Arabidopsis thaliana: one gene and its partners. The main gene of each other region encodes a partner of the protein of the gene in region 2 in a complex. Each region holds a gene or a part of one and is shown on either strand. Other genes may lie near its edges.

Evidence for each region.
Region 1: EIF3E (region 2) and EIF3A share a complex: the UniProt entries of both Arabidopsis thaliana proteins name them as parts of the eukaryotic translation initiation factor 3 (eIF-3) complex.
Region 3: EIF3E (region 2) and TIF3B1 share a complex: the UniProt entries of both Arabidopsis thaliana proteins name them as parts of the eukaryotic translation initiation factor 3 (eIF-3) complex.
Region 4: EIF3E (region 2) and AT4G20980 share a complex: the UniProt entries of both Arabidopsis thaliana proteins name them as parts of the eukaryotic translation initiation factor 3 (eIF-3) complex.

What each region holds. Positions count from the first base shown.
Region 1 is NC_003075.7:6,946,940-6,954,290, forward strand, and holds EIF3A (eukaryotic translation initiation factor 3A), read right to left. Parts: upstream 5,541-7,351; 5' UTR 5,435-5,540; intron 5,172-5,434; 5' UTR 5,115-5,171; coding exon 5,069-5,114; intron 4,963-5,068; coding exon 4,481-4,962; intron 4,393-4,480; coding exon 4,177-4,392; intron 4,044-4,176; coding exon 3,675-4,043; intron 3,587-3,674; coding exon 3,557-3,586; intron 3,468-3,556; coding exon 3,240-3,467; intron 3,125-3,239; coding exon 2,963-3,124; intron 2,847-2,962; coding exon 2,625-2,846; intron 2,535-2,624; coding exon 2,328-2,534; intron 2,247-2,327; coding exon 2,040-2,246; intron 1,951-2,039; coding exon 1,870-1,950; intron 1,714-1,869; coding exon 1,512-1,713; intron 1,407-1,511; coding exon 895-1,406; 3' UTR 537-894; downstream 1-536. Other genes in the region: AT4G11410 (NAD(P)-binding Rossmann-fold superfamily protein), read right to left, coding at 142-247; AT4G11430 (hydroxyproline-rich glycoprotein family protein), read left to right, coding at 5,860-5,889, 6,674-7,303. UniProt on the Arabidopsis thaliana protein: RNA-binding component of the eukaryotic translation initiation factor 3 (eIF-3) complex, which is involved in protein synthesis of a specialized repertoire of mRNAs and, together with other initiation factors, stimulates binding of mRNA and methionyl-tRNAi to the 40S ribosome.
Region 2 is NC_003074.8:21,195,980-21,201,099, reverse strand, and holds EIF3E (eukaryotic translation initiation factor 3E), read left to right. Parts: upstream 1-1,780; 5' UTR 1,781-2,026; coding exon 2,027-2,246; intron 2,247-2,344; coding exon 2,345-2,499; intron 2,500-2,607; coding exon 2,608-2,835; intron 2,836-2,924; coding exon 2,925-3,046; intron 3,047-3,366; coding exon 3,367-3,586; intron 3,587-3,665; coding exon 3,666-3,808; intron 3,809-4,004; coding exon 4,005-4,142; intron 4,143-4,214; coding exon 4,215-4,314; 3' UTR 4,315-4,583; downstream 4,584-5,120. Other genes in the region: INO80 (DNA helicase INO80-like protein), read right to left, coding at 100-532, 654-1,032, 1,137-1,224, 1,429-1,488. UniProt on the Arabidopsis thaliana protein: Component of the eukaryotic translation initiation factor 3 (eIF-3) complex, which is involved in protein synthesis of a specialized repertoire of mRNAs and, together with other initiation factors, stimulates binding of mRNA and methionyl-tRNAi to the 40S ribosome.
Region 3 is NC_003076.8:9,780,479-9,786,809, forward strand, and holds TIF3B1 (translation initiation factor 3B1), read right to left. Parts: upstream 4,811-6,331; 5' UTR 4,713-4,810; intron 4,698-4,712; exon of another isoform or gene 4,306-4,697; 5' UTR 4,282-4,305; coding exon 4,172-4,281; intron 3,922-4,171; coding exon 3,684-3,921; intron 3,587-3,683; coding exon 3,362-3,586; intron 3,089-3,361; coding exon 2,960-3,088; intron 2,785-2,959; coding exon 2,656-2,784; intron 2,569-2,655; coding exon 2,485-2,568; intron 2,414-2,484; coding exon 2,289-2,413; intron 2,183-2,288; coding exon 1,984-2,182; intron 1,878-1,983; coding exon 1,345-1,877; intron 1,259-1,344; coding exon 1,150-1,258; intron 1,065-1,149; coding exon 729-1,064; 3' UTR 532-728; downstream 1-531. Other genes in the region: ACBP5 (acyl-CoA binding protein 5), read left to right, coding at 123-302; AT5G27650 (Tudor/PWWP/MBT superfamily protein), read left to right, coding at 5,033-6,182. UniProt on the Arabidopsis thaliana protein: RNA-binding component of the eukaryotic translation initiation factor 3 (eIF-3) complex, which is involved in protein synthesis of a specialized repertoire of mRNAs and, together with other initiation factors, stimulates binding of mRNA and methionyl-tRNAi to the 40S ribosome.
Region 4 is NC_003075.7:11,215,245-11,220,152, reverse strand, and holds AT4G20980 (Eukaryotic translation initiation factor 3 subunit 7 (eIF-3)), read right to left. Parts: upstream 3,273-4,908; 5' UTR 3,157-3,272; coding exon 1,381-3,156; 3' UTR 1,366-1,380; exon of another isoform or gene 1,085-1,365; 3' UTR 975-1,084; exon of another isoform or gene 773-974; intron 586-772; 3' UTR 515-585; downstream 1-514. Other genes in the region: ACA4 (alpha carbonic anhydrase 4), read right to left, coding at 1-193, 291-381; AT4G20970 (basic helix-loop-helix (bHLH) DNA-binding superfamily protein), read right to left, coding at 3,941-4,015, 4,298-4,663, 4,763-4,894. UniProt on the Arabidopsis thaliana protein: mRNA cap-binding component of the eukaryotic translation initiation factor 3 (eIF-3) complex, which is involved in protein synthesis of a specialized repertoire of mRNAs and, together with other initiation factors, stimulates binding of mRNA and methionyl-tRNAi to the 40S ribosome.

The DNA of each region.
Region 1 (7,351 bases), on a different chromosome or scaffold from region 2:
CAGATACCAACAACAACTTGAGTTCAAGGGCAGGATCAAAACCAAGAAATTAAACTATAGACTGAACATAGATCATAAAAAAGTTGAAAACATCTGCACGAAGAAGAAGAAGAAGAAGAAGAAGAAGAAGAAGAAGAGGACCTGTGACGATAGCAGTGAGACCAGTACCATCGATTCCATGAGTGACTTCTTCAGCTGTGGAACGAGCAGAGAACCCAGATGCTCCTTTCCACCAAAAAGGCCACATGTTTGTTTTGTTTCTATCTTCTGTACCACAAAATTAAAGTCTAATCTCAACCAAACCAACGCTAGCTGATGATCAAACACACACCCTAGTAAAGTTGACCAATTATAAAATTTCTTTTTCCGAGAGCTTTTGCAATGTGCCCATGCTCTGTTCTCAAAACAAGGCACTGAAGAATCTCGTATAAAAGTATTAATTACAGTTTCATTTGTTTTCTTCCTTAATCCAGAGATAAGAATAAAGATGTTTGTATACACTATTTACATTTTTGATACAAATGTTGTTAAATGTGAAATTTGGTATTCGTTTATTGTTCTTCATAAACTAATAATAAGCAATTAACAAAAAGTTTGCTTGAAAGAGAAGCTGATCAATGTCAAAGGTTTTTACAGCAGAAAGTTGGAAATAAATTGGACAAACAAAGAAAGATCCAACCGAAGAAGGAAATAACAACTCTCTCTGGGTGTGTAGAGCAAAAAACGAGTCTAACATGTTTTAAAATCTTTCATAAAAACTTATAAAAGATGAGCAATCTTCAAAAGAAGAAGAGACAGGTTTGGGCTAAAGAAGAGTGCTGTGATGTTGAAAATCCAGAGATAACCTTTTTCATTCATTCCCATGGAGATTGAGACCAAAAAAATTATTATTACTCAACGCTGTGTTGGCCTGGGCCTGGAGCTTCCAAATGTGGATCGGCGATCATCACTGCCTCTAGGACCAGAACCCCAACGGTCTCCTCCTTCAGCTGGAGGTCCAGATCTTTCCCTATTACTAGTCCACCGGTCAGTATTCTGAGCGGCTCCTCTGTTGCTTCCCCAGTGGTCATCTCCGGGAGGCGGCCCACGGTTGGACCGTCGGTCAGTTTCTGATGATGTTGGTGCTGATGGGCCTGAGACCTCAGTAGTCTGGCGCTTCCACTTCGGAACATAAGGTGCTGCTGGTGCTCCTGCTGCTGCTGCTGCTGCTGCTGGTGCGGTAGTTCCAACAGGAGTAACAGTAGGCTCTGCAAGGCGAGCAGGTGGTGCATTAGTTCCTCTCAACAGCTCTTCTCGTTCCCGCCTACTTTTCTCTTCCAGCTCTATCTCTCTCTGCCTTTGCTTCTCAAAAGCTTTATCCAAGTTTGCTTTGCGTTCAGCTTCTACCTTCTTGAGCCTCTCAGCTTCTACATTAGAGGAAAACCCAAAAAATAAACAGAAACAAGGGGTTATTAAGAAAAACTTCAATATCAAAGTCAAAATGATGTGGATTTATGGAAGCAAGTCCACACCTTCCTGCTTGCGAGCTTCCTCTTCTTCCTGCAGCTTCCTAATCCTTTCTTCTTCAATTTTCAAATAATATATCTGCTTCCTCTTGATATCCCTTTCTTGCTTCTTCTCTCGGATTATTTTACTGATACGCTCCTCTCTCTCCGTCCTGATTCTGTCAAACTCTGCTTGTCGACGACTAATCACTTGTGCTTGGAATATTTCCTGGGCACAGAAAGATTCGATTATAAGTACATTGGAAGGAAAAGTTACAGGAAAAATGTAAGAAACTAGAGAGCTTTAAAATTAATTCAATAACGAAAAGAGATTCAGATCAAAGATGAACATTAAGAGAAACAACATGACATGTCAAAGACTGACCTTATTACCCAACATTCTGGACAACCTGTTCTTCTCCTTCAAGTCACTCTCATGACGCTCTTTACTGAGTTCAACTTCACGCTGCATAGGAGAAGAGCTTTTAAGACCTCATATACTTCCAACACAGAACCAAGTTGTAAGAAAAGAAAAACTACTGAAACAGTAAGTACCTGTTGTTCACGCTCATAAAACTCTCTTTCCTCTACCAGTCTTCGCTGATATGCAGCTTCAATCAATGGAGCAGCCTCTTCTCTCTTTGCTCTTTCCAAATAATCCATCGTTTTGGCAAGCTTTTGAAGCTTCTTCTCCATTTCTTGCCTTTCCTTGAGCTGCTCAGTTAAGGCCCTTTCCTTCACAGATTGCTTTGTCACCTTCTCCTATATTTAGTTTAACCCAACCGACATTAGTAATAAGTTAATCAGTGAACTATATAATAGCTAACATATTGGTAAACTTACTCCGTCTAAAAGTGGCTTCTTCTTTCCCTTTTTCATGCGCTTCTCTGTCTCTTCCAGTAAAGCTTGGGCTTCTTCAAGCTCCTTCTCCTCTATCTCTCTAAGGATTCTTTGTTTTCTTCTCTCTGCAAGCTCTGCTGCAAGTCTCTTTTGTTCTGCCTCTTCAGTTAGCTTCTGAAGCTTAAGCCGTTTCTGCTCCTCTTCACGTTCCTTCAAAAGTAAACATCAAATAAAGGAATTTTCATAAACAGGTACAGCGTAAAAGGAGAGCTGTGCAAATAACCATGGAAAAGTAACTACCATTTCTAGTTGCTGACGCTCTTGATCCTCCTTCCTCTTTTCAATGATTGATTTACGAGCAAGCAGTCTTTTGTGCTCTTTCTCAACAGTATCTGCTAAATTTGGTATAACGCCAGCTAGTTTTGATGCTTTACTTGGGACAGGATACAGCATAGCTCTTACTTTGCTCAAAGACTCGGCAAAAACAGCCAGATGATCCCTCAGTCCATCAGACTCAATACCCTAATATACAAACAGTTGATCAAATAGATTAGTATTTAGTCAATAAGTTAAAAATTATATTACTCAACTACATATGATATAATCAGTGTTGAGCTGAAGCTTTAACAGAGGCTTACCAAATTTCCAAAAATTACAACACCCTTCATGTGATCAACTTTCATGGCAACAAAATTGTTCTTCACAGCATCAACAGAAATCTTCTCTACCTCTGAGAATTGAAAGAAGGGTACCAACTGAGATAAACTCTCAATTCTTATTGTCTGATAAATCTTAGACACCTGAAAATAAAATCGGAACATAGAACATTTAGTATGCAGAAAAAGGGATAAACCACCAGAAAAATCCAAAATGGTTGAATGGGTATTGACCTACAACATAGAGAACAAGGCTTACCTGTTGAAGTAGCCTCAGAGTAGCAAGCTTCTCCAGAGAAGGAACATATTGGGAAAGTTGCACTTCTGGTAAAGAAGGAGCTGAGGACAGTTTCCCACCAGATTTGGAAATCTTTTCCAGCAAAGGCTGAATCTTGGAGCCAAGATCAAGTGGGTGAAATTCATGCTCCAAAACATGGAAAAGATCTTTGACCTCCTGAGATGCACAGCTCAAAACACCTTTTGAAACCTAATTGCATAAAAATCAGCCTCCAAATCAGATATTTGTAAGTCGACAAATATTCTAAACCACAGACAGGGTAACAGCTAGAGACTCACCAGCTCTGACAGAAGAGCTGACCGGGAAAGCTGAAACAGGAAGGAAATGGAATTAGAATACTAAACCAGAAAGAAAGGGCGCAAAATAAAAATGAAGCAACATAAGAACCTATGTTACCATATCTTTGCCCTCAAATTTAGGTTCAAGATTGAATCCAATGAGGTTAGCCATCCTCAAATTGCGTTCTTTCTCATTTTCAAGTTCCATATGGGATGCGCTCTGAGCCCGATCAAATGGTGGAATGGACAATGCCGCCAAGACAACAGATGACGCTATTAGCTGCAAATCCTTTTGGCTTAAATTCTTGTTGAAATTTTTCTGCAGACTAAACAGCTTAAACCATGCATAAGCATGATAAAGATGGCTAGAAGAAATCCAGAAGATCTCAGTCAATTTGGAATAATAAACCATCAATAAAGATGACTTGGGCGTTTTTTTGACCATGCACATTAATCCATAGATATCTTCAACAGAGCGAAAAGCTTCCTGCAAAGATACATCACGAACCATACTAACTTATTTCCAGTAATTATACAGAGGATAAGCTATATACAGCCAAACTAAATATGGAATAGAGAAGGTAGCATCAGAAAAATACACATAGAAAACAAAAACGCACCTGCCAAAGTCCAAGCTCAGTAGCAACTTTCAACTGATCAAACCTTGTGTCCAGATACAGCTGCAAGCTCTCAGGGGCTGATAAGTCAGGTCGGTCCCTTTGGTCTCTGTACTTGTTCAGGTTTGCCAAATGATTTCTTATAATTTCACAAAGCCTACGGAACTCTGTTGTTCGCTTGTACTGCTTACAGAACTGGAAGGCTTTATGTGCTGTCATCTACAAGATTATAAAGTACAAGTCTTCAATCTCAATCAACTTAAAATCAGAGGTATCACCAATAAGCTTAACCTAGAAGAAAACAAACCGCATAAAGTGCTTCCAACTTTGAGTTGTTTCGCAATATCTCAAGGACTGTCCTGTATGTCTCCCACAGAAACTTAAACCATGGGGTGACCAACTCACGGTCAGACCTATCTTTTCCCTTCTCCCCACTGACAATACTTAGCTGTAAATCCTCAGGCTTCCTATCAGCTTCAAGGTCATCAACATCAAGAGCCTCCTCAAGGGCATCCGCCTGAGACCGAGCTTGCTCAGCTTTGTCAGTAGCAAGATGTAGGAAGTGCTTGATAACTTCCTCCAAGGAACTGACATTCACTTGCTGGCAAACAATACGATACTGAATCAATCCATCCTTAGCGAATCGACCCCTCTTCAAGTCAACACAAAGATCAAGATACTTAAACATGATCTTCTCAAGCGGTTTCTGCCAAGCTCTGTATCTCTTGGAAGTAATGAGATCATGAAGCGCCTGAAGAGCATCTTGTTTCTGTCCAACATTGATCAATTCTACACACACAAAAAAAAAGTGTTTAACACAATCTCAATTCATACACACCCTAACCACATCCATTTGACCAAATGGATGTTAAAACGAAAACATTTCGTAACTTACCATCAGCACGCTTCAACGCGTTCTCTGGTTTGGCAAAATTCGCCATGTTTCAGACGAAAAAAGCTAGTAACAAACTCTAACGCAAGGGACACTCTCAATTAGCCTGAAAAACACAGAGAAGCGATTTTGTTACAGAGATCACCAGAATCCGAAAAACCCAATCAGATATCTCAGAAAAGGATGGAAGCTACATAGACCAGAAAAAACTTGCCCAAACCCTAAATTCATTTCATAGAATCAAAATAACACAGAAAGATTCGATAACCTGACCCAAACCCTAACCCAGATCAATTCAATGAGATTTGATTAAAAGGCAGTAGAGATCCAATCACTGATGCAAGAACAGAGCCGAAACTTAGGACTAACCTTGTAGCCGTGAAAAGAGAAGACTGATAAGAGAGACGAGAAGCGAAGCGGAAGCAACTCTAGGGTTTCTGGTATTAATATTATCGTTCTACATATATATTACCCATATTTGCAGAAATCATCCTATTTTCTTACGGTTTCGAAATGACCCCGTTTTATCTTCTTAGTGTTTATAAAACCCAATTTGTCTAATACTGGGATGTGATTCAATTGAGATCAACAAAATTTATGGATTTCATTTTCGAATTATCATTTACAATATACTCTCTATATTTTGTTTAATAATATTTTTAGCAATTAACTTTGATATTTCTATATTATTAACTAAACATACATTTAAGTAAATAGCCAACAACATATTAAATATTACATAAAATGCCACTACAAAAATTCATTTCAAAAAAACAATTGATTTACATAAAATCATGAAAGGTAAAAAATTCAACTGTAAAAGGGTGTTATTGGTTTATGATTTCAAAAGAGTTTTAATGACTTAAAGTGTAATATAGAATCTGATGTTATTCAATTAAATTTTTTTTAAAGTATAATTGTGTTAACCCGCTTTAATATTTATAATTGGGCAATTATAAATTCATATAAAAAAAATTAATTATGATTATTGCATTTATATAAAAAAATTGAAAATTTGAATATGATTTTTTCTATTACAAATAGGGATTGTTAGCTTACTTTTAACTGTTTTTTTCTTAATTATACTAGGTAAGTAACAAGAGTATAAGAACATTATACAGTTCAAAATATATATTTAAGCAAGGCATTGGAAATATGTGATGGAAAATTAATATAACAGATTATTTTTGAATTATTTTACTATCGACGTATTTTTTTTGTCGGAACTGTCGCTCACGATTTGCAATAGAACATAGCCATATGTAATCATTTTGATCTATATTTTTGAGTTACTCCAAGATTCAAACAATTTAAATTCCGTTATAATCTACAATTAACCTTCCATCCAATTCCAAAATCAACAATATTTTAGCCAATTTGTGCGATGATCATGAATTTGTTTTGTTAAATTCATTGATTTTCTAGAATCCAACATGTACATAAAAAAAATTAGTGGAAATTGATATATTTTTTTGGGAAATTTGCAGAAATAACTAACAAAAAAACTATAATTCACTAACTAACCATCCTAACTATGTAATTATAATATTCTCTGTATTATATGTAATATTACTCAATTTGCCCTTGTTGCCTCAATACCTTCAGTAGCAACCACCACCGCTGGCCACCACCGCCGGCCACCACCGCCGGTCACCACCGCCGGCCACCACCGGTCACCACCACCGGTCACCACCGCCGGCCATCACTGCCTGCCACCACCGCCGGCCACCACTGCCTGCCACCACCGCCGGCCATCACCGCCAACTTCGGCCACCATCTATTCCGGTCACCACCAACACCGGTCACCGTCACTGTCGGCCACCATCAAATCCGGCCACCACCAACTCCGGCCACCACCAACTTCGGCCACCACCACCACCGCCACCACCACTGTCGGCCATCACCACCACCGGCCACCACCACCACCGCCGGTCACCACCACCACCACCACCACCACCACCACCACCGCCGACCATCACCCCGCCGGTCACCACCACCACCGCCGGCCACCACCACCACCGCCGGTCACCACCACCACCACCACCACCACCACCACCACCGCCGACCATCACCCCGCCGGTCACCACCACCACCACCGGCCACCACCACCACCGGCCACCACCACCACCGCCGGCAACCACCACACCGATCACCAACACTTCCGACCACCATCAACTCCATCCACCACCGCCGGCCACAACCATCACCACCACTACCATCTCCAATCAAAAAGACTAATTTAGTAAGTTTACTACCCTCTAGTGTTAGTTTCTACATTTTGTATAT
Region 2 (5,120 bases):
CAAAAAGATAATGTTGTTAATAAAGCCATGAATGAGCCATGAATGAGCCATGAAGGATTCAAAACTATGATTCATAAAATACTGCCACAGAATCCAAACCTCGTATGTATCCCCCTTCTCCAGAATCTTCACGTAATGGACCTGTAAAACACCACCCTCAGACAGAATTGTCCGTGCAGTACTTCCAGCAGATCCTTCTGGAATGGCAGAATTCATTGCAGCTTCTGACACCTTGAGGCTAAAATTTGGGGTGGAGTTTGAAGGTGACAGGGCCTTCATTCTAGCTTGAAGAGATTCATATTGAGGTCGAGGCTCACCCATTCCATTACGGCTTCTTACTCCAGACCTTTTATCACTTGCCATCAGTTCTGCTAATGATCTCAGATCCAGAGTTCCTTTCAAGTAAAATTCTTCCACATGAATGTCTGAAAAGCTCGGTAAGTTTAATGATGCCACCAGCTTGTCATAACTTGGGGGGATTTTGTAGATGACACCATCACCAATGTCCAAATACGAAGGTTCATATGCTATCCTGCAAATGATGCAAAATTCAACGTGTCAATCTAGGAAACCCAACACCGTAAGTTATCTAAGCGGATTACACAGGGTTACACGGATCCCATGGAACATGAAAAAACATATGATCAACATACTTGGGTGTAATATCACGATCATGGTAGCTTCCTCGCCTATGTGGGGTCACATCAGCTGCAAAATTTGGAGAGTTGTCCATGTCATAGAACCTCCCATGGTAATCATTCCCTGGTTTCCTACCTCTGTAACTGCCCACATTGCTCTTTAGCACCGGAAAACCCATCAGATGAGGAGGATTCCCTTGAGTCTCCTTGGACCTATTTTTGAATTTTTGTACATGCTCCCCAAGCATTGATCGGTAGTGCTCCTCAGTAACATGTTGATTGTAGAGATCATCATCGTCCTCTGCATCCTCAGCTTCTGTCCACCGCTTTCTCTTCTTGGAGCTCGCATTCATTCTCGATTTAGACCCATTGCTGTAGTTTGCCACTACCCCACCTTTAACCATTACCAACCATATAGACAGAACACAGATAAACGTCACTTAAAACTATCACAGTAGGTGGCAAAAGTAATTCCATAAAACCAATTAAAAACTGTACCTTGAGTGCTTCTACTTTCATCCTGGCTACTACTCCCATAATAATCAACTTCATCTTCAGGTTTCGGAATTCTAAACTTCATCAACGGCTGCAAGAATGAAGAATTTAGCCACAAAACCCACACTGAATTTCAACAGTAAAACAAAAACACACTGTAGAAACAAGGAGAAGCTATACAATTGCAAGATTTCCAATCACCAAAACTACATTCATCACAGTCACATGATCATCATCCAACAAGTACAAACCATCAATTTCAAGGAAATCACAAAAAAATTGAGACCTAACAGACCTCGAGATCGAATAGATTCGCGTAAGGAGAGTCCTTCGGTGGTCGTCTTGAAGGATCCATGAGAGACGGGAAGAGAATAACACGGCGTCAAAATTTTGGAGAGTCTTAATCCTTAAAAGCTTCTAGACAGAAACATTCGTCACGAGAAAGAAAAAGAGTTCGTCTCGAAGAAGAACCCTAATCCAGTATGATAGAGGAAGAGGGCGAAAGGTTAAAGACGAACATGCGCAAGTTAGTGGACACAGGCGGTACAGAAAGAAGTCCAGACTACTAACATACGCCAAACGAATAAAGCTTCTTACCGTGCGCCTCTCCACAAAAAACATTTAATTATTATTTTTTCTTAACCCCTCCGGTACCGGCCGATCAGATAACGACGGCTAAGTTATCGTTTTGGAGATAAAAATACCTTGTGGGGTAAACAACAATATATAAGAAGTAAAGGGGCGAATTTATAAATATTGAAAGCTCATATTCGAGAAAACCCTAATTTCAATATACAGGATTTTTTACCTCGTCGTCTCTGAAACTTCATCTCTGCCGTCTTAAGAAGATTTTGCCAGTGCGGGAAGCGGCGGAGATTGAGAGATTAGCGACGATGGAGGAAAGCAAACAGAACTATGACCTGACGCCACTAATAGCGCCTAACCTGGACAGACACTTGGTGTTTCCTATATTCGAGTTCCTTCAAGAGCGTCAGCTTTACCCTGATGAGCAGATCCTGAAGTCTAAAATCCAGCTTTTGAACCAGACGAACATGGTTGATTACGCCATGGATATTCACAAGAGTCTCTACCACACTGAAGACGCTCCTCAAGGTATTCTTGTGTATTCCTCTCTGGATATGTCTGTGAATTTGCGTTTTTGTGTACTGGTTTGTTTGTTTGATGATGAATGTTGAAATTTGTGGTGATAGAAATGGTGGAGAGAAGAACAGAGGTTGTCGCTAGGCTCAAATCTTTGGAGGAGGCTGCTGCACCACTCGTGTCTTTTCTTTTGAACCCTAACGCTGTGCAGGAGCTAAGAGCTGACAAGCAGTACAATCTCCAAATGCTCAAGGAACGCTACCAGGTTGTGATTTGGATGATTAAGTTGTTTAATTTTGTGAAATGTTATCCAGATTTGGTTTTGTTTGTGTATTGTGGAACACAAATCTTATATGGCTTGGTGTCTTATCAGATTGGTCCAGACCAGATTGAGGCTTTGTACCAGTACGCCAAGTTTCAGTTTGAATGTGGCAACTATTCTGGTGCTGCTGATTATCTTTACCAGTACAGGACCCTGTGCTCTAACCTTGAGAGGAGTTTGAGTGCCTTGTGGGGAAAGCTCGCATCTGAAATATTGATGCAAAACTGGGATATTGCTCTTGAAGAGCTTAACCGTCTCAAAGAGATTATTGACTCAAAGGTTAGTATTTAAAACTTCTTCTAGTTTGCGACCTTTGAAATCAATATAGATGTGAGAGTATATATGCTAACTACCATTTGTTTTTTCAGAGTTTTTCATCGCCGTTAAACCAGGTGCAGAACAGGATTTGGTTGATGCATTGGGGTCTGTATATCTTTTTTAACCATGATAATGGAAGGACACAGATCATTGATCTTTTTAACCAAGACAAGTAAGCCTCTACCTCTCTGTTATCTGCATCTCTTCTTTATACCTTTCATCACCATCTATTTCCTTGCGTTTTAAGATAAGCATGATCTAGATGCGATGAAGTTATGTATAGGTGGTGTTTGTGTGTAGAACTTTGTTTATAGTTAATGTTAGTCCTGATGTGCCTACAAGTAATTAGCAGTCACTAGTTTTAGAGTCTTCTCCTTCTTTTCATCCAGACCTATTCTTAAGATTGTGCTTTGTGTATGGGCATTTGCTGAAAAATAATTCACTTTGTTTTCATGCTGCAGTTCTGTATACTAATTTGATTTACTTTTTCAGGTATCTGAATGCCATCCAAACTAGTGCTCCACACTTGCTGCGCTACTTGGCAACTGCTTTCATTGTCAACAAAAGGAGAAGACCACAATTGAAAGAATTCATTAAGGTCATTCAGCAAGAGCACTACTCCTACAAAGATCCAATTATCGAGTTCCTGGCATGTGTGTTTGTCAATTATGACTTTGATGGGGCTCAAAAGAAGATGAAAGAGTGTGAAGAGGTAACTCATCCACATGTATAGATATTTTTGTTTGTGCAGAACTGTGCAATCAATACTCTGACATTTTAACATGATGTAGGTCATTGTGAATGATCCATTCCTTGGCAAGCGAGTTGAGGATGGAAACTTTTCAACTGTACCACTGAGAGATGAATTTCTTGAAAATGCCCGCCTATTCGTCTTTGAAACCTATTGCAAAATTCATCAAAGGATTGACATGGGGTAAGTTCTCACATTTGGTTGTATATGTTTACACATAACTCTGCTCTCCGGATTGCTCAATGTTTGGAATTTTCTCTATTCCTTATCTTTCCCAACACATGAAAATTGCCATATCCAGCTATTTAAGTTGAGAAGAATTGTTGCGGTCTTGTGGTTTAACTTTGTACTCATGTCGAGCCTATATTTCCCTTGTCAGGGTACTTGCTGAAAAATTGAATCTGAACTATGAGGAGGCCGAGAGATGGATTGTGAACCTAATCCGCACCTCAAAGCTTGATGCCAAGATTGATTCTGAGTCAGGAACTGTAATCATGGAGCCTACTCAGCCCAACGTGTAAGTAGAATAAGCTTAAATCTATGATATCATTCGTATTCTACAATCTAATCTTGTTTCCGCTTTATGCAGGCATGAGCAGTTGATAAACCACACCAAAGGCTTATCAGGACGAACATACAAGTTAGTGAATCAGCTCTTGGAACACACACAGGCGCAAGCAACTCGCTAGTCAAAATTTTGCTGTGGAAGCCTTTCCTTGATAAAACTCACCTTCGGTTGACTGGAATTATTTTCTTTTTCTTGCTCTGAGTTCACCTTTTACTTTGAAAAAGATTATTATGGAGTTGTTCTATTTGAAATGTTGGATCCACAGATTGGAACATTTTCCAACCAAATCAGCATTTTGTATCCACCCTAAGCATTTAAAGGTTTTTGCAAGCCAACGTAAATTACTGCCTTACATTGAGCATCTCTGATTTGCGTAATAGTAAGTACAATAATAGCATATAACAGAAGTAAGAAAAACAAAACTTAAGAGTTAAGACTATGACAGTGGAAAGAACAGGTCACAAACAAAACAAGTATATCAATTCGTAAATAGTATAAAGTTACTCCAGAAGTCCAACTCGCCAGAGTCATCAAAAGAGAGAAGATAAATTCAATTTCTTTGGAGGTGGGTGCCCTCCAGAGAGTACCACATAAGAATAGAAACACAACATGCAATGGAAATGGCATATAGTGTGTTTTGATCTTTCCAGTGGATCTTTTGAAGCGAGTATGAAAATACCATTTACCACTGATGGTCGAGTTACTATAAGCAACATGAAGGACCGTTTGTGTATATCAGAGGGGAAGGACATGAAACAAGAGATATGGTCATTAAACTCTCGCAAGAAATGGGAGAAGACGTATTCGATTGATTTGAATAGAACTTCCATTTGGTGTCGCCGCCATCCGAATTTGCCAACAAAAACAATCACAACATTTCAGAAAAATAAGATTTTGCTTCATAATTGGAAGATAACTGGCCGTACT
Region 3 (6,331 bases), on a different chromosome or scaffold from region 2:
CTAAGAAAGTCATTTTGTTTCACTTTTATAGTAAGTCTGGGTTGATATTTGAATCTCGATGGTGAAACATTCCTCTCCGATGTTGACCAAATCCTAACAAAACTCGGTCTAAGTGCCCGCAGGTTGAAGTTGCAGAGCTAAGACAAAAGCTTCAGACAATGGAAACACTTCAAAAGGAACTCGAACTCCTCCAACGTCAAAGAGCCGTTGCGTCTGAACAAGCCGCCACCATGAACGCCAAACGACAAAGCTCTGGTGGCGTCTGGGGTTGGCTCGCTGGAACTCCTCCGCCTAAAACATGAGTGCCCATGAAACTTTTTTTCGGGTAACTCTTTTTTGTCATTACCAATATCAGTATTTACTTTTAGAAAGAAAGAAAAAGAGAGAAATACAGTATAGACAATTTTTAGCGTCTCCGCATTGTTACTAGTGAAAATAAGGTCTATAGTTGTTTCTACTACAGTATGATTGATGAGTTGCCATTTGAAGATTCAGTTTCTATATAAGCTCTACCGATTTGTGTGTAATTATGTTACACTACAAGCTATATTGTATTGGTAATTTTTCTACCATTTAGTACCATTACATGTGATAAGCACCATACTTCATCAACTAACAACGAAATTTTCAATCATGAAGGAACCAAAAATTATCTTCCAAGTATAGCGAACACGATTTAAAATTGTCTAAGGGATCCAAAGAGATGGCAACAAAAGAGACCGAGTATCTTACGACTCTTGAACGATTTCCTCAGTGACATCGATAAGATCCTCAAACTCAACTTCTTTGGCTTCATATTCATCTTCTTCCACATCACTTACTTCACCATCCCGAAGGTTTTGCCTCACGAGTTTCTCCTCTTCATGCAGAGACTTCCACTGCATTACCCATTTCTCCCATTCTTCCTTCAATGCCTTTCTCTTCTCTCTGTCTTGTTCACTCAACAGCAACGACACGTCCTGATCCTCTGCCTCATACTTCTTGCTGTACTTCTTCAGGGTCTTTGCTATCTCTTCTTCCTTCTCTGCAGTCAAGAATGATGGAGGTCTTGGACGCCAAGCCAACTGTGTAACCAACCATACACAAATATTTTATTAGACATCGGAATGGACGATGCTCGTTTAAGACCGAGTTTTTCTTGTTACATACCTGGAAGAAATGATCCTTCAATATCCGGTAAAGCATAATCCCGTTGAAAGACCATATGGTGAACCCATTCTCCATCTCATGGACTGATGTCACTGCGGTTGCAACGTACCTTTGAAAATAAAAAAGTGCAAACAACATCAGCAATTGGAACAAATAGAAACAACCAAAGGACTGGTTTAGTTAAGACAGTAGGACCTTCCAGTCGGGTCCCATTCGATATCCGTGGCCATGAAGTGTTCAGCTGTGGCCATTGTCTCGAGCTCATCCACGTTGAAAAATTCAAGCTGGCCATTGAAACCTTTTAACCCAGCAAGAATTATGTACTTGCCTGTGGGCGACCAGAAGAGGGCATTAGCTTGTTTGGCCTTCAAAGTTGCGAGCTTTGAAACCCTTCCAGTGTTTTGTGCGGTCTTCATTGAGTAGAAACTGACATCTGGTCTTGGTTGGTCACCATGAATCACAGCAAACCTGTGACCCTTGGGCTCCCATGCAAAAGCAATGATCTTGTCGTTCTTGTTGTCCAGCTCAAGAACCTCGATGGGAATATCCCTTTCTTTGATACGGAAAAGTTCAAATCCAGAGTATGTGCTCTTCTTAGTTTTTGTGTATCGATCAACCTTGACAGCAAGATACTCTCCACTACTCTGCCAGTACATCTTGCAGTCGCTCACACTGAAGAGATTCTTCTGCCTCAGCTCCACCTTGCTCGGGATTTGGACTAGGGCAACCTGAAGAAGGGATATCAACATGTAATTTCAAAACACCAGGCAGAGAAACAGAAGCAAATTAAGGATTCAGAGCTTTTCATGTACATCAGAAATAATAGAAACATACCTTCGCAGGTTGGTTTCCACCACCTTGTTCAGGAACAAACAATGAAAGGATGGAATCAGTAGGAGACCAGCAGATATCCACAACATTATCTACCTTCATGGATTTCTTGTCTATTAGGCTGAAAGTCTCAGTCTCATAGACAGAGATAGTGTTTTTGCTAAGCTTGGCAAAGTATTTATCATCTTTTCCACCAGCCCATCTGTAGAAAAAGTTTACAAGATATCAACATATGTCCATAATAGTGGAGAAGATGATAATATTGGCTGTTTATTTTTAGGACATTGACATGCAGTTGAAAGAATTACCTGAAAACAGGCCAAGAGGCACCAGCAACACCACCAGGTCCTCCAATTGAAAACTCATCAGCACTACCCTTGAAATCTCTCATCATCCTCCCGGTTCTCACATCAAAAACCTTAATCTCAACTTTCTGAAAGTTTGACAGAATTCAGCGTCACAAATAGTAAAAGTTGAAAAGAACAGAAGAAAAGATGCACTCACACTTGCATCTCGCGGGTTGCTTGGTTCTTGGCTATGGTAAGTTACAAGATATTTCTCACCTGGCGAGAAATCAACTAGTTTTACCTAAAACATAATCAACAAAAGATGCAATTTTCAGGCCAACAGAGGAAAAACGGAAGTAATATGTAGCAATTGAAAGGAAATTCAAACCATAGAATGCTGATAACGCATGAGACGCGTGAATGTATCAGCACCACCCCAAACAGCTGCCCCCTGCTTGTGGAGTGTCACAAGGTATGTACCTAAAGGAGACCACTGCACATAACTCTCTGTCCAATACTGCATAGGAAGAGAACATCATTAATTCAAATGAAGGTAACATAACATATAAAAGTGCTCTAAACAGTCAAGTAAACAAATAAGGGATATTAATTCAAATGAAGGTAACATAACATATACATTGCTCTAAACAGTCAAGTAAACAAAAGGGATATACACACAGGAAGTAACTTACAGGACGCTTATGAACAGGTTCAGGCGCCTTCTGCCTAGTATCATTCCAGAAAACTTCAGTATCAGGGCCAGAACGAATGACTAGCTGGTCTCGGGCTTTTTCATCAGTAAGCCATTTTTGCAAATTTTCCTGAAAAAACAAACACCATATAAGTAACGACAATTAGCACCACAAAAGGCTGCAATGAATTAAAATATATACATGAAACAAGAGTTATGAAATTATAGTTATTAGTTAGTATACATCAATTACGTAAAAAGATCCTAACCCTAACGCAGCAGGCAAACACAAAATAAATCAGCGAATTACCAAAATAAAGAAGTGATTACACAGACACAATGGAAGTTATTCAAAGAAAATTATTCAAGGTACAGGGAGTAACATGATGAAAACTACACATACCCCAGGGACGTAGGGCCTGGCCTGAGGAGGCTCCCACTCCTCCTTCACATTCATCAACCTGTCAAAATCATCGAACATGTTTACAGCAAAGATGTGAGACTTGTCCAACTTGTAGCCATGAGACTTTTCCTTAGCGTTTTGTGCTTCCTGCAAAGAGCCCCAGACATTGAGAGAAACTCTTAGGAAATACTCAACCATTAAGAACAACCTAGTTTGGGCTCCTTTCTAACAAGAGAAATAAAGTATTGAAACATATGACGCCGACATTATTGCTTCAGAATCCAACAAAACAGAGATTAAGCTAATCAAGTAGATAAATAACCTGAGGAGTGTTGAACTCAATAAAACAGTAGCCCAATGTCATCTTGGTATCGGGATCAACAGGCATCCACAGTCCATTTTCCTTAATCACACCTAACTGGTTGTAAATTTTCTTGACAACACCTTCAAGTTTCTCAAACTTCTCCTTGGGAACAACAGGGAGGTGATCGACCACGATAATGTTACCGAATCCAGTGTCGAATTCAGACTGGTCATCCTGGTAAACAGCTTCATCATCACTACAACCATCACAGAAAAAAAAAGTGTATAACGAATCAGTTCCATTTTTCATACGTTCATAGATAAAATGTATAAATATAATAAGCTTTGCACCATCAAGGAAAGAGATAAACCAATTCGAAATACACAAAATTTTCATACATACAATAGCAAAACCTAGAATAAAATCATCCCATCGTATAAACACAAGAAGATTAGAAATAGAAGTGACCGTATATGAACAACCAGAGATCTAAAGGAAAATCTCACCTCTCGATCCCAAAGTCTTCTCCAGGAGGAAGTTGGATGGAATCAAAATTAACCTGAGACCAATCAATCCCTAACTTAGCAGCTCGGGCATCAATATCAACGACCTCCATGATTTCAAACCTTATATCAAAAATCTGCCAAAGAAAGCCATATAGAGAGAGCTATCAGTCTTTAACACATTCCAACTTTAAGTCGATAAATAAATGTGAAAAATCTGAGTCTTTAGATCTAAAAGTAGGTTTTTTGTTAACCCTAAACAAGTATTAAAACAACAAACTACCATGGCCAAATGTTCAAAGACTAAAACTTTGAATCATCACTCCCACTATAATGTAAATCTAAAACCATGCCTATAGAAATTATTAACTATACTCTAGTTTTATTTAATCTAGAACCCAACAACAGGTGAAATGGAGAAAAATGGCAAAATTTTCCTGAAGGCTCTCTTATATCTATTGCATCGTTCTGGATCCTGTCTCATAGCTACATAAGAAAAGACAAAAAAAACAAATGAACACTGAAATCGAGATAAGAAACGTACCCAATACAGAGATCAGCCGAGAGCAAAAAACAAAGAAGAAGACGGCGCTTGAAGGTGAGGAAGAAGGAGCGATTGTTTTCAGGTCTTTTTGGATCATACGACGTCGGTTCCTTAAACGGGCTTATAAATATTTATATGGGCCGGGTAAGCCCAATTCAATAGTAATCAGTAGATCTAATTTATTGTCTTTCTCTCGATTAGCTTTTTTTTTTTTTTAACAATAATCCGTCTCTTTCATTTGGTGTCCTCGAGAACCAAATTCGGATAATCTCTCATCGGAGGATCGTTGTTGTTGTTGCTAGGGTTCTTATCGATTTGTAATGTACAAAACTAAATTAATCCCGGTGATGAACGAGGATGCTGTGATTGTTCAACAAACGGATTCGATTCAGGATCCTAAGGTAACTCCAGATGATACTGTAGTTGATTCGAGCGGGGATGTTCACGAAGCCATTGATGATGATGTTGAAGCTTCTTCACCTATGGAGCTAGATTCGGCGGTTACAAATGACGCTAGGGTTCTCGAAAGTGAGAGATCGGAGAAAGATGGTGTCGTAGGGAGTGAGGAGGAAGATGAGATTAAAAGCGAGGATGTTTTAATTGATAAGGATGATGAGAGTTCTGAGGTTAAAGAAGAAGAAGAAGAAGAAGATGGCTCTGATGATCAATCTAGTGAGCTTGGTTCTGAAGCTGATGAGAAGGAATTAGATTTGGGTTTGAAGGAAGAGAAAAAAGGAGTTTCGGATTATAAATCTCTTTTATCTGAGTTTGATGATTATGTTGCAAGTGAGAAAATGGGTTCTGGAGTTTCGAGGGCATTGAGTTATGGGTTTGAAGTTGGAGATTTGGTTTGGGGAAAGGTAAAGTCTCATCCTTGGTGGCCTGGTCATATATTCAATGAAGCTTTTGCGTCTCCTTCTGTTCGTCGTATGAGGAGGATTGATCATGTTCTTGTTGCGTTTTTCGGTGATAGTAGTTATGGTTGGTTTGATCCTGCTGAGCTTATTCCTTTCGAACCGAATTTAGAGGAGAAATCACAGCAGACGGTTTCGAAGCATTTTGTGAGAGCTGTGGAGGAAGCCAAGGATGAGGCGAGTAGAAGGTCAGCTCTTGGTTTGACTTGTAAATGTCGGAATCCTTATAACTTTAGGCCTAGTAATGTGGAAGATTACTTTGCTGTTGATGTGCCTGATTACGAGCTTCAAGCCGTTTACTCTGTTGATCAGATTAAGAATTCTAGGGATAAGTTTTTACCCGCTGAAACCATTTCGTTTGTGAAGCAATTGGCGTTAGCACCTCAAGAGTGTGATCCAGACAGTTTAAAGTTTATGAAGAAGAAAGCAGTGGTTTTTGCTTTCCGCAAGTCAGTGTTTGAGGAGTTTGATGAAACTTATGCACAGGCCTTTGGGACAAAATCACCCCGCAGTTCAGTGAGTACGCTGGAACCTCATAATAGAGCACCGCCTCGAGGTATTAGCCACTTTTCAGAAAATCATGTTATTGTTTGTATATGGGTTTTTTCGTTGTAGACTTGAAACAGCTTTCATATGTGTTACATAGATATTAGATACTGTAACTTGGTTTTAGGGTTTTACTTTTAGATCCTCTGTGCTCATGAT
Region 4 (4,908 bases), on a different chromosome or scaffold from region 2:
GTAATTACAGCCGGAGCTGGTTTATATTGTCTTGTCCATGCTTGATCATGAATAAGACTGACTCTTTCGTTAGTAAGATCGATCGGGGATTGATATCTTCCGGTGTTACAAACTTTCCAGTGCGGATTTATTTTGCCCCATCCCTCTGGTCCCTTTTCCGTTTTTTGTTCGTAAGTAAATGGAGTTTCGTCGTCTGTTTTCAGATTAAAGTTAATAACAAATCATTAAATCTGAATTTTGATACAAAAGATTAATTTTACTAGAATGCAATAGAGATGTAGTAATCATACCGACTTCAGAATGAGCGTGTGAAATATTAGGGAAAGATAGATAGATGAAACACATAGCCATGAAGAAAATTGTTTTTGCGTTGGTATCCATGTTTCTCTTCTTTCGAGATTAGATTTTGCTTAATGGAGTATGTTATTATGTTTTGGAGATTGAAGGGTTTAGAGACAACCTATTTAAGAGGAGGCTTTTGGGGGATGTTTGTTCTGCTGTTCTGATATGGTTTTTGCCGTTGCTACGATTATTAGTTAATAATCTGATGTTACTATTGGAAACATGAAAAAAAAAAAAAAAAAACTGAATGCTTAGTAAAAACCATTTTGGTTGAGTTTTCTAATTTGGGGTTTATAATAATAAATATATGTGAAGTATGTCGGTTTAACAGAGATTAAAACCGACCAGGACAATAGGATCTATGTCAGTTTAACAGAGATAAAAACCGACCAGGACAATAGGATCAAGCTCATAAGAGAATACGCCAAACGACCGAAACAAACAAAAGTTGGAACCATAAAATACCAAATTTTATAAAACTAATGCAAAATGATTCAAGAAAATTTGGTGGCTATAAGAGTCATAGTAAAAAGATTTCTGTTCTGTAAACAATCCGTAATGATTTTCCAAAAGATGTCACGAAGATAGTGTTCTACAATCTCATTTCTGACTTAAAATTACAGCAGTACCACAAAAATTTGAAAAAGGACAAGATAATTAAAAAAGGAACCTCCATTGTTGTTGTTTGATTGAAGCTTCAACTCTCAAAAGAACCCAGAAACGAAAGGTGTAGACTTTGGACCTGAAGAATATAGTATCCAAATTGTGAATGACGATGCTTCATACGACGTTTATACTTATAATAAAGATCATCAATTAATCTAAGTCACCAGTTTCTAAACTATAAGAATGAAATTCAGATGAATAAGAACAAGATTCTATGGCTAAGAAGTAAGAACCAACTTTCTGCATTTTCTTGGGTTCTAAGTATAAATTCACGATCCTAAACAAGTGTTCAATCAAATCCAACAAGCATATTATGGTAACCGCCTTTTGAATTTGAGAGTTGTTTGTATGAACTACCTGACTTTATAACCATCAAGCTTGAGCATCATCAGCTTTCTTCTCCTCGGTTTCTTTAGTTGCAGCTACACTTGCTTCTGCTCCCTCTGTGTTTTCCTCAGTTGGCTGAACCTGTTCATCTTCAGGCAACGGTTCCTCAACGTAATCATTCTCGAAAGCATCAGGTGGAACCTCATAAATCCTCACTTGAGGCTTCGATGGATCCTTCACAAGAACATACTTCCCTTCGCTTAGTTTCATACACAGATCAACTATGGATTTCACAATCCCCCACATGTTAGAAGTGTTGAGATTAATCTGTCCAGCGAAATCCTTCGGCTTATACCCCAAAACAGATAATATAACATGGTTGAAATGATCACGAGGATGAACCCTAGAGACAAAACCAATCTTCATCATATCAGCATTAGCCAATAAAGCTTGTGCAGTCCATTTAGCCAACTTATTTCCATTGTTCTTCAATTCTGTAGCTAAAACCGCACCTCTCTGAGTTTCAAGCTTCTGTCTCCAATCAACACCAGAGTACTTAGGATCAAACTCGTTAAGAGCATTCAAAGTAAGAAACGACCTTTGGTTGTTGAGATCAGCAACACTCTGTAACTCACACCTCGCAACAAGATGCATATTATCATCAAGCTTCCACCTTCTATACCTATAAGCAACAGAAGCAATCTCTTCACCTTCATTAGCAAATGGATTGGCTTCATCAAAAGTTTCCTTCTTTCCATCTCTAACCAAAACCTGCTGCGAAAAGTTCTGATTGATGTAAGCAGCTTCCACACCTAGAGAATGAGCAGAATTGATATCATCTTTAGACTCAGGCAATGGCTCTTGAGATGTCTCATGCACAGACAACAAATCAAGCTGTGATCCATCTCTCTTGTCAAAGAACAGTTTGTTACCAACACGTTGAATAACAATATCCCAAGAGTAAACAGATCTAGGAGCACACATAAGAGCAGCTAATATAGCATCAGTAGCGAAAACAGTAGCTTTGTCTTCCTTAGCTAAACGCCTAATCACAGGATCATCACTAGTAGTGACTTTGAAGAAGTTCCTGTTCTTGAAACGCTCGAGTCTGCGTTCGTTTTTCGGCGTTATGCGATCGAAAAGGCGGTTGTAGTACTCAAGGCCACCACAGAGAAGAAGATCTTCTGGTTCTTGAACTGTGTACGAGAGCTTCGAGAATGTTGAGAAAGGGATCTGCTCAAGCATGTTCCACTCCGGCTGAATATCAACGGATGATTTGAAAGCGGCAGCTTCACGGCGTTGGTGATGGATGTTGTTACGGTTGTTATTGTAGAGACGATCACGACGAGCTCGTTCCTTCTCAGCATCACGCTTCTTAGCTTCAACTTCTTCATCTCGCCGTTGAGGAAGCTGATTCCGATTGTGGTGAGGATTGAAACGCCATTTAGGTCCGAATTTAGGACGCGGCGGAGGTTTACCGTCGACGAGACGGAAAGCTGCGTCTTCGTCGGGATTACCACCGGAGGAAGCGAGACCGAAGCCTTCGTCGATTGCGAAAGCGGAGAAATCGAAAACTGCAGACGGATCTGATTTGGATCCGGTGTTAGGACGAGCGGATGGATTAGAGAGATTGCGAGTCCAATCAGCTACACGGCCGAGCTTATCGGAACGGGAGAAGGAAGCGAAAGGAACGTTCGGGAGAAGATTAGCGGCGGCGACGCTGGTGGGAGAGGCGGAGGAGGAAACGTCGGAAGCGTCTGGAGGTCCCCAGCCATCGGAATTGAAAGGAACGGCGACGAATTCGAAAGCTTCGGTTACCATTTCTGAGAAGATAGTGTTGCAGCTGTGTGTGTGGAAAGCGGAAACCCTAATTCTTTAGTCTACGTTGAAGAGAGAAGGTACAAGAAAAAAACATTTTTGTTAATGTTTGGGCTCATGGGCTTTAGTATTCTTCAAAACCCATATATAACACTTGAAGTCTTAAATCATGTTTTTCATTTCTGACTTTGAGAAAAAAATAAAATAAAATAAAAATTTAGAATTCAAATTCATCAATTTGAAATAGTATAACACATTTTTTTTTGATAAACTCTATTTGCTGATCTGGTCAGCTTCGATAGAAACGCACCAAAGTGCTCCGAAGTAAACTTTTCCCGAAGGACCACAACACTATCTGTCCCGAATTTAAATGTTTTCTAACTAATACCACGGGATATTCAAACTCGGATCTGAGAGTTTCACCTATCACCAAAGTTTCTCCTATCACTAGATTACAAATGCTTGGGCAAGTATAACACATTGAAAAAAGGTGAAGTTATTTCGCTCGTTCATGTATTAATTCTAAGAAACTTTTTTTTTTGGTTTCGTTCTTGAAAATCATCATCCTAAGTTTCATATATTTCACAGCTTTGTTGATACCAAAAAACAAAATATATTTCACAGCTTTAAGTAGAGAAAAGTATATATTATGCTTACAAATGAAACATCACTCTCACAGCACATGATACAATTCAAGAAAAGGAATCTAGCTAACACCAAAAATAATTCAAGAAAAGGAACAAAAACATAGAACTTTTTTTTTTAATAAAGGAACAAGGAATCAATATTAGTGAACACTGTTCACAATCTTCTCCAGTCTTTCAGGAATTTGACTCCTAGCTCCATAATCGTGTTCTTCCACCTATATAAAATATAAATTAAATTTAGTTTACTAACATATGGATATTAATAGGAATCAGCTAGTAGAAACTTAACAATCAGATGGGAACATGCAGCTTCTTAGCGTTTTTGAGTGCAAGTTTTATTAAATATAAAAACAACAAGTATAAATATCATTCCCTAACTTTGAACTCATTCCCAATGTGTATACAAGCTGGATTAGACCTAGTTTTAACATAGTAGTAGTAGCAAAGTTTGATTCTTAAATTCCATTGCAAAAAATGTTTTACTTTCCGAATTATACCTTGCAGTGAAGGGTGTGGAAGACAGCATCATCAACAATGGAGTATCCAGCATGAGTGATCTCAGCTCCTAATTCCTCGGTGAGAACACGAATGATCTCACAAAACATAAACTTGTGTTCCAAGCTTGTCACAAGAAAGATGTGAAAAATGGAACCAGTTTCTTGAATCTCGATTTTTGGCAGCTTTCTTGGCACGGAGACATCGACGCTCGACGAAACCGATGAAGATCCGACGGAATTCAGTTTCTCCAAAGTTGTAGTCGCAACGAGGTTCCTTTTCCTTTCTCTCTTTTTCTCCACGTTCACTTGTAGCTTCTTGATGTAGTTTGCAGCTTCATCTAGCTGATCAGGTAGTGTTAAAGGCTCCTAACATGAAATAATAAAAGAGTTTAGAATATTAAGATCATCACCCATACATGGAATCTTAGATTATATAAGCATATAAGAGGGCCAAGAGGAAGAAACCGTAGAAGAATGATGAGGAAGAAGAGAGATGAGTTCTGAGTAGAGAGACTTCATTTGCATCCTTCTATTTTTCTCAACCGTTTTGCGATCTACAGATCTTGATTGACCTGTGTTTGAATGGCTCGGCTCCATTTCTTTTTTTATTC